Linked DNA regions of Nothobranchius furzeri. The protein of the gene in region 2 purifies or fractionates together with the protein of the main gene of each other region. This does not show direct contact. Links are inferred from orthologs where the notes say so. Each region holds a gene or a part of one and is shown on either strand. Other genes may lie near its edges.

Region 1 (3,335 bases), on a different chromosome or scaffold from region 2:
CATCGCTAAACTCCAGCTCATGTCCAAGCTACTTGTTAGGCCTATCGGGAACTATACTAGATTAGTTTGCCGCCTATTTGTCCAAGTATTTCATCTCTTTGGCAAGTTTTGGTTCTTCCCCACCTCCCTTGCTCATGGGGTTCCACAAGGTTATGTGCTGGAGTCAATACTGTTCCTCCTTTATCTGCTACCCCTTCAGCACTCTGAGGTCCTTTTAAGGAATCTCCTACCATCCTCATGTAAATGACACCCAACTGCACATCCTCTTTAAACCCCATGAGATGTCCAAGCTGCAGCTGTCACACATCTGCTCACTCCATTAAAATCTGGATGGCTGGTAACTTTCTACAGCTGAATGAAGACTGAGATCCTAATCTGTGCCCCAGACAAGCTGGTTCTCAGAGACTGTCAGCTTGTTTCTCACACCAAACCCTGTCTGGAATCCTGGTGACCTTTGACCCAGCTCTTACTTTGGACTACCATGTCAGTTCTCTAGATCGCTCTTCCTTCTTTCACCTCAGGGACATTGCTAAACTTAGCCCTAATCTGAATTTGTTATCCACAGATTCATTCAAAAACCCTTTGTTGCATTTTGACAAATTTTAATAAAACAGGACAAAACTTGTTTAAGACACAAAAACAGAACAGAGGAGTACTTGTGTTAGAATGTTTATTTAAAGTTATTCCCACTGCGCACCCCCTCCCTGTGTGAAAGCCTAATCTGAAAGGAGGAGGATACAGGCCACTATAACGCCACATCAGCACATTTGTTGACAAGGCTACTGGTTTTGACTCAACACCTTCCTCATGCACTGGTTTGACACTCTGTGCTGCGCTGTAGCAACACACCAGCATGATGAGGCCTGTTCAGAATCAATCCCAGGAGGAAGAAGGTCCACTAAGATAGGGCTGAGAGTTTTGACTCCAACCAATGTTTAAAAATGAAGGCAGTTTTACTAAATTTCCAGTTCCACAAAGAAGAAAATGGCAATTGTGAGGCAGAGAAATAATTTGGATAGCTTCTCTTTTTCCTCAATGTGGCTGCTGATCCACAAGACGTTGATTTGATGATGCCACTAAAAGAAAACCTGAGGCTCGAGACGAACCCAACGTTTGTCACAGTGAGGCCGTCGTCCTTCTCCAGTCAGTGACACCGCTCCTATCCTCTCCTTCCACACAACAACAGATGGACTAAAGGAAGATCAGAGTAGCACCAAATCACACCATTGATACAGACACCAAGTGCAAAGCAACTAATTATAATAGAAAGAAAATGGGCTGTTCCAGTTATTCCAGCATAACACTGGACCAAAACACCAGTGGCCATGTTTGTTACACGTATCAAGTGTTACCTGCGTAGCGGACTACAGATCTCCGAGGGGAATGATTTCTTCGTTGATAAAAAACTCAATGGTCTCCTCCTCCCAGTCGTCCACGTTGCTGTCAAGCTCATCAGTGTCCACTCCTGGAAGACCAAACCATCCAAATGTTAAAATGAAGCACAGAGGTCATCGAGGTCGAGCTTGTAAAAGCAGAGCCCCACCTCCTCTGAGCTCAAGGCGGAGGTTCTTCTGTTCTTGATAGTTCTGCAGCGCCGCCTCCCTGTAGTTACGGTACTCCTCCATCATGGCTCTGCGCTTGTCCACCAGCTCCTACGCTCACAAACACACATTTGTATGACTTCAGCAGTGAAGAAAATTAAGTGTCGGCAGACTCAAGCTTTCAAAGATGAAGGAGATAACATGAATGTACAGATCTGTACTTCAATGAAGAGTAAAATGTCAAAAAGGAGGAACAGGTCAAACCTTTGAAGCCTTGGACTGGCTCAGACGATCCTTCTGCTCAAAGATCTTTGAGTATTTCTTAAGATCCTTTTTGATCATCTGCAAGGGAAAACACAAGTTAATTAGGACTGTTCTAAAACAAGGAGGTTGAAATGTCATGTCAAGTATTTATGAGCCTCAGATCAGAAATAGAATCAGGAGCTGGAGTGCAGCTCTCATACGAGGTGTCAGAAAGTTTTTATCTGTCATCACCGGCTCCAGACACACATTTTACAGGCAAACTGGTACCTTAATCTGATCTATGCTGAGCAGAGTGGGAGGTCTGGGCCTCCAGAGCAGCTGACAGAACCGGTCCTTGTTGTTCTTCTGGAGGAGACGGCCCTGGAAGGTCCATAGCCAGTACGCGTTGTCCACCTAGACAAATGAGTCCAAAAGAAGGGATGAGTTTAAACAGAAGAGAAGAGCGAGTGAGTTTGTGGAAGCAGGACACACCTTGTGGCTCCACCAGGAGACGGAGGTAACGACGTATCGGCCGGTCGGGTCCCATTCTACGTCAGAGGCCATGTAGTGCTCTGCTATGTTCATCAAGGTGCAGTCAGAGGTATCCACGAAGGCTAGAGCGCCGTTCATACTGAACACAGAGGCAAAACAAAGACTTGGTACTGGGGCAGGTGCAAGAGGTGAAAGGTGAAAGAAAAGATACAAGCCTCAGAACAGCATTAGAATCAGGAGCAAAGCTCTCATATGAGGTGTCAGAAAATAAAGTTTATCATCAGCGGCTTTTGAGAGAAAACACACACACACACACACACACACACACACACACCCTACCTTCTGAGTCCAGCCAGCACCATAAACTGTCCCTGGGGGCTCCAGAAAATGCTGTTTGCCTGCTGTTTGTCAAACATTTCTGTAAAAATAATAAAAATTACAAGAGGGAGTAAAGACACTAAAAAAACGACTTTCGCTCATCTGCCCAACCAACTGACTTATGAGCTCGATCTTCCCGTTGTTTTTGACGTGATAGAAGGAAGCGTTGATTCTGGGAGACTCTCCGTGGAGAACAGCAAACTTGCTGCCGTTGGGCTCCCAGGCAAATGCGATGATGCTTTCTAAGAAGACAGGACACGAACGGATCGCATTAGATTACTTCTATAAAATAAAACGGTCAAAAATAGATGCAAAAATGCTTCTTTTTTTTGCTCTCACCCTTCATCTCCACGACATCTACAGGAACCTGCTTCTCTCTCATTCGGAAGATTTCAAAGTTGGTGACAACACCCTGGAACCGAACAGAGATGGGCCTTTTATCGTAAATCCAATAAGATATAAAGACAGTCTATCTCTGGCTGCATACCTGAGTTCCTTTGGGAGTCCTGTCCACTTTCACACACAGATAATCTCCATTTCGCTGCCAGTGCAGTTTGCAGTCAACTACATTGAAGAGATTACGAACTCTGATCTCTTGACGAGACGGCATCTGCATCAGGGTGACTCTAGCTGGGATGTCTTTGTCCTCTGGTACCCAGAACGCTATGATGTTGTCACCAG
Region 2 (4,457 bases):
GTTTTGGAATGTTTACTTTGTGAAGTGCCTTGAGACGACTCTTGTTGTGTTATGGCGCTATATAAATAAAACTAAATTGAACTAATATTCAATGGAATTATTCCATGAAAATCTATTACACCTACTTTTAAATATATTTCTACGTTACAGTTACTTTATTCTCATTTCTAGCCAAAGTTGAGTCATAGTGACCTGTGGCTCCAGGACAGCGAGTTGCAGAATCCTGATCTACAGTAAAACTTGTCAAAACTCTGGTTAACATTACAGCTAAAGTAAACACTAGTTTCTTTGATTCCACTCGTTCAGGAAGTCCTGGTGATAGTTAATAAACATGACTGACTTTTTTTTTATTTTTCCAATTTCAAGGCTATGAAAGACACTAAAAGGCAAATATCCATTCATTTTCTTTACATGCTTTTCCACACAGGGTCATGGGCGGCTGGTGCCTACTTCCACAGTCTTTGGGCAAGCAGGTGGGGTACATCGTGGAAGGATTGCCACTCCATCGCAAGGCAACACAGTGACACACAGGACACACAACCGCGCGCGTGCACACACACACACACTTAAGGACTATTTTTTTAGAATAGCCAATCAACCTGACAGTCATGTTTTTGGACTGTGGGAGGAAGTCAGAGTACCCGAGGGGAACCCACGCATGCACAGGGAGAACATGCAAACTCCATGCAAAAGGACCCCAGGGCAGGATTTGAACCCAAGACCTTCTTGCTGCAAGGCAACAGCGCTAACCACTAACCACTGTGCAGCCCCAAAAGGCAAATATTTCCGATATACTTTATTAATAAAAAACTTTATAAATACATATATAAAACATCCTGCAACACCTACGTCGTGGATGAGTTCTCCTTCCAAAAAGCGAACCGGTTTCAGGGTGAGCAGGTGGTCAAACAGGAAGGTGTTGGGGTCTTTGAGAGCACGGACGATGCACCTACAAGAGCGGAGATGCTTGTTTGTAAGGAGAGGCACGGTTTTAAAAACAAATGAAAATGGTTCTGAGTTTACCTGTGAGCATCAACACGTGCTTGTGAAGCGTTGTCTTCTGTGTAACTTCCCAACAACTCGACCATGACTTTTGCTGCAGGTTCGCTGTTAAAGAAGTAAAACGTCTGAAAAGTCTTCTAATGAAGCACACTAATACCAATGAGTATGCATGACAATGATCCAATGTTTTTATTCACACAAAAACCCACAGAAAACATACAACAGCTTCCTACATGTCCTTCCTACTTTTTAAAGTATGCATGTCTGATCTTTGGTTTTACCTCTTTTTGCAGTCAACCAGTGCTTCATAGACCAGCCTCAAAAGTGTGTGCTTCTTCTCGGTGTTCAGGCTCCAGTCAATGATCCACTTACGCACCTAAGTAGAGACAAAGCCAAATATCACCTCTGCAGATATCAACGCAGTCTTCTTTTAGCTAAAAACAAATGCATCTCATAGATTTACCTGATCCAGGTCAGTGGGTATGAAGGAAATGGCATTACAGGCGGCGGCCACTTTGATGAGGCTGCAGAAGACGGTGTACCTCACTGGAGTGTTCTCGTCCATGCCGTGGAACAGGTTGCTCAGCCTTTAAAACCACAGCATCAAACAATCTGATCTTTTAATGGTAACTTTTGTTGAAACACTCAAATGAGGGGCAGAACTTACAGCTGCAACCTGAGGGAGGGCCTTTCTCCTTCACGGAACTTTACCAGTTTCTCACACAGACTCTCGATGAGAGCCTCCTGTTTCTCTGTCTCCAGTATCAACAGCAAAGACACGATGCTGTTCATTGCGCTCTCAACATCTGCGGGGGAACGAACGGGTGAATGAAAATCAGGAGATAAAAACAATTCACTCGGTGTAATATCACCTATTTGTGTTGCAGGGGTGTAATTAGTGATACATTTGGCAAATCCATGTGTTATTTCTGTATTTTTATTTATTTCAAAACTGACACGAGCCAGTTTATAGATTTCAAATTAAACACTGACACATACTTAATCAACTGCACCATTAAAAAAAAGTCTGTTCATGTCTTAATTTTCATCACCAACCTTTATCATCATCTTTGAGGCAGACGTCACACGCCTCGATGATCTGAGCAAGATCAACGTGAAGTCCACCTTCAGAGTTCTCCTCTGAAATATCAGCTCCTTTGGCCTTGATATAGGCCCTCAGCTCTGAAGCCTGCAACAAAAACGTATTTTCCTTTGAGTTAATTAGGGCTGAATTATACCATAATCACACACAGTGTCCAGGAGCAATGCTCACCCATTAACACTATCCTATATATAGTTAACAGTGGATTTTGTATTTGTTTTAGCATAAAATAAAGATACTGTCCTACATTTTCTTGTGCACTATGAAAGCTTAGTTTGTATAATTATGAATCAGTCATTTAAAAACTATGAGAATGCCTAACTTGCTGCCTTTTAATTCTTATTCTTTATTGTACCCATTTGTTTATAGTTATATGGCTACAATATTAGCAGTCATTGCTAAAGCGTTATAACTAACTTTATAAACATCATGGACCGCAAATTATTTCAGATAAAAATCACTCACAGCAGCTTGCTTAAATAAATTACATGTAAAAGTTAACATTTCGTTTTTTATATTTACTCACGTACATATTCAAAAGGTGCCTGTCAGCAGCTAAACATGTTAGCATACAGCAAGCTAAAGCGCTAAATTATCTGGAAAAGCTTTCAGTTTCTAACTAGTTTTGGAGGAACGGTGATGAAATATTTATTTAAAACATCTATATCTGACCTGGTCTTCTTCGGTTATATCAATGAATGCCGGAACGCTCATGTTTTGGTGAATTTTGAGCCTAGAAGATGAAATCCACGCTCCTACCAAAGCTGAGACGTAACCGGAAAGGAAAGCGCTACAATGCCGGTCACGTCTGTACACTTCCGGGTCATTCTCTTAAAGAGACAGTAATTTAAAATGTATCTGGGATCGCGTAAAGTAAAAATAATAATAATAATAATAAAATGAAAAATAAAAAATTGTTGATTCTTTTTTTGAATTCCCTAGCGCCACTTTATATCACTCTACTTCTATTTATCACAAATAACCAATATTTTATTAGGTAATTGCTAAATAAAAACATAATTACCACATAGAATTTTTTCTTAGTACTCTTTTACATTTTTGATCATATTTATGCTTTAAAAACACAGTTGTTGGTGAATTGTGTCTTCAGTTTAAATCCTTGATCATTCCGTTTATCTGGAAGTGCAAATGTCCATGTATTACATGCGAGACTCATGCAGTTAACTTGAATCCCAGTTCTGGAGTGACACTGTCCTGCACTTTTTATATATTCTCCTGCTCTAACGCACTTTATTTAAGTATTGAATAACCTCTTCAGCATATCATCAATTTCTTCAGAAGTTTGATTCCAACCAGGTGTGCTGGTGCAGAAAAACAGAAATCATGCAGACAGCAACACGTGAGGACCAGCCTGTCATTTGTTTCTTTATTTTATATGTTAAATGAATTCACTCTTGACAACTATGAGTACTGTGAGCAAGAGTTAGAATGTTTTAGTTATTTAGTTTTTCCACACCAGTTATCATAATCTTCATTAGTCACATAGGCTTCCCTCAACTAAGTCCAGACTTTTATTTGAATGTCAATCTCTCCTCTGGAAGATTAACTGTGGATGTTTTGGATTTGAGTTACTGAGGTGATTCCCTGAAGAAGTTATCTGATTAAACCCCAGTCTGTCTTTGTGGACCACCGCAGAAGGACTGACCCAGAGCTTTCCAAGCCAGAGATGTCAGAGGGCAGCTCTCCTCCACCAGACACCCATTGACCTATGTGTGCACGTGTAGGGCCTCTGTACCAAATGGGACCCTGCGTATTGTTACAATGGCAGATCACTCGCTGATTGAGGTGAGCAGGGCAAGTGGAGCAAGAGGTCATCCCTAGACTGTGGGGTCGGGTTACAGATGTTTGGGTGGCGAGCAGGCTTTTGTCCCGTGGTGAAGATCCTGTTTTTCATTTCCTTGCATCACCGCTCACAGCTCATCTTGTCAGGAAATATGTGTACTTTGAGGATTCATTGGCTATAGAGGCACATCACGCCGTGTCGTAATTCCTCCGAAAGTCTGCTTGTCGTGTATTTATGTTAGCATTTACACAAAAAGGGAACTTGACTCTGTTACATTCATCAAGGCACAAACTGCCCAAAATAATGTGCTGAGGGGAAATGGCTGATGGAGTGTTTCACCACAGAGATCACTAGATGCGTCATTCTGTTGGGAAGGCAAGCGCCTGGTACCAAATCCCACCTCCACTTTCTCCCCACCCTTGTAGGCTGCCATGGCAAAAAATTATTGCTGCTTCTCTGCAAGAGTGCTTGTGTAAATCTAAGACTTTCATTATCTGATTAACAACTGTTGTCAAGCGCCTGGTGTATTTCAAGTCCTGAATACGAGTT

Evidence for each region.
Region 1: the proteins of eif3m (region 2) and eif3ba purify together in Homo sapiens (affinity purification with mass spectrometry; 8 studies listed by BioGRID and IntAct, counting the BioPlex papers as one, with this or other methods). This does not show direct contact. The link is inferred for Nothobranchius furzeri from reciprocal best matches to the Homo sapiens genes EIF3M and EIF3B.

What each region holds. Positions count from the first base shown.
Region 1 is NC_091744.1:16,233,280-16,236,614, forward strand, and holds the end of eif3ba (eukaryotic translation initiation factor 3 subunit B), read right to left. Parts: coding exon 3,142-3,335; intron 3,067-3,141; coding exon 2,994-3,066; intron 2,897-2,993; coding exon 2,774-2,896; intron 2,695-2,773; coding exon 2,616-2,694; intron 2,566-2,615; exon of another isoform or gene 2,488-2,565; intron 2,416-2,487; coding exon 2,277-2,415; intron 2,199-2,276; coding exon 2,073-2,198; intron 2,042-2,072; exon of another isoform or gene 1,957-2,041; intron 1,884-1,956; coding exon 1,806-1,883; intron 1,653-1,805; coding exon 1,544-1,652; intron 1,466-1,543; coding exon 1,365-1,465; 3' UTR 1,353-1,364; intron 1,192-1,352; 3' UTR 654-1,191; downstream 1-653.
Region 2 is NC_091749.1:32,399,096-32,403,552, reverse strand, and holds the start of eif3m (eukaryotic translation initiation factor 3 subunit M), read right to left. Parts: upstream 2,932-4,457; 5' UTR 2,819-2,931; coding exon 2,777-2,818; intron 2,192-2,776; coding exon 2,059-2,191; intron 1,809-2,058; coding exon 1,670-1,808; intron 1,590-1,669; coding exon 1,466-1,589; intron 1,379-1,465; coding exon 1,284-1,378; intron 1,108-1,283; coding exon 1,024-1,107; intron 950-1,023; coding exon 850-949; intron 1-849. UniProt on the Homo sapiens protein: Component of the eukaryotic translation initiation factor 3 (eIF-3) complex, which is required for several steps in the initiation of protein synthesis.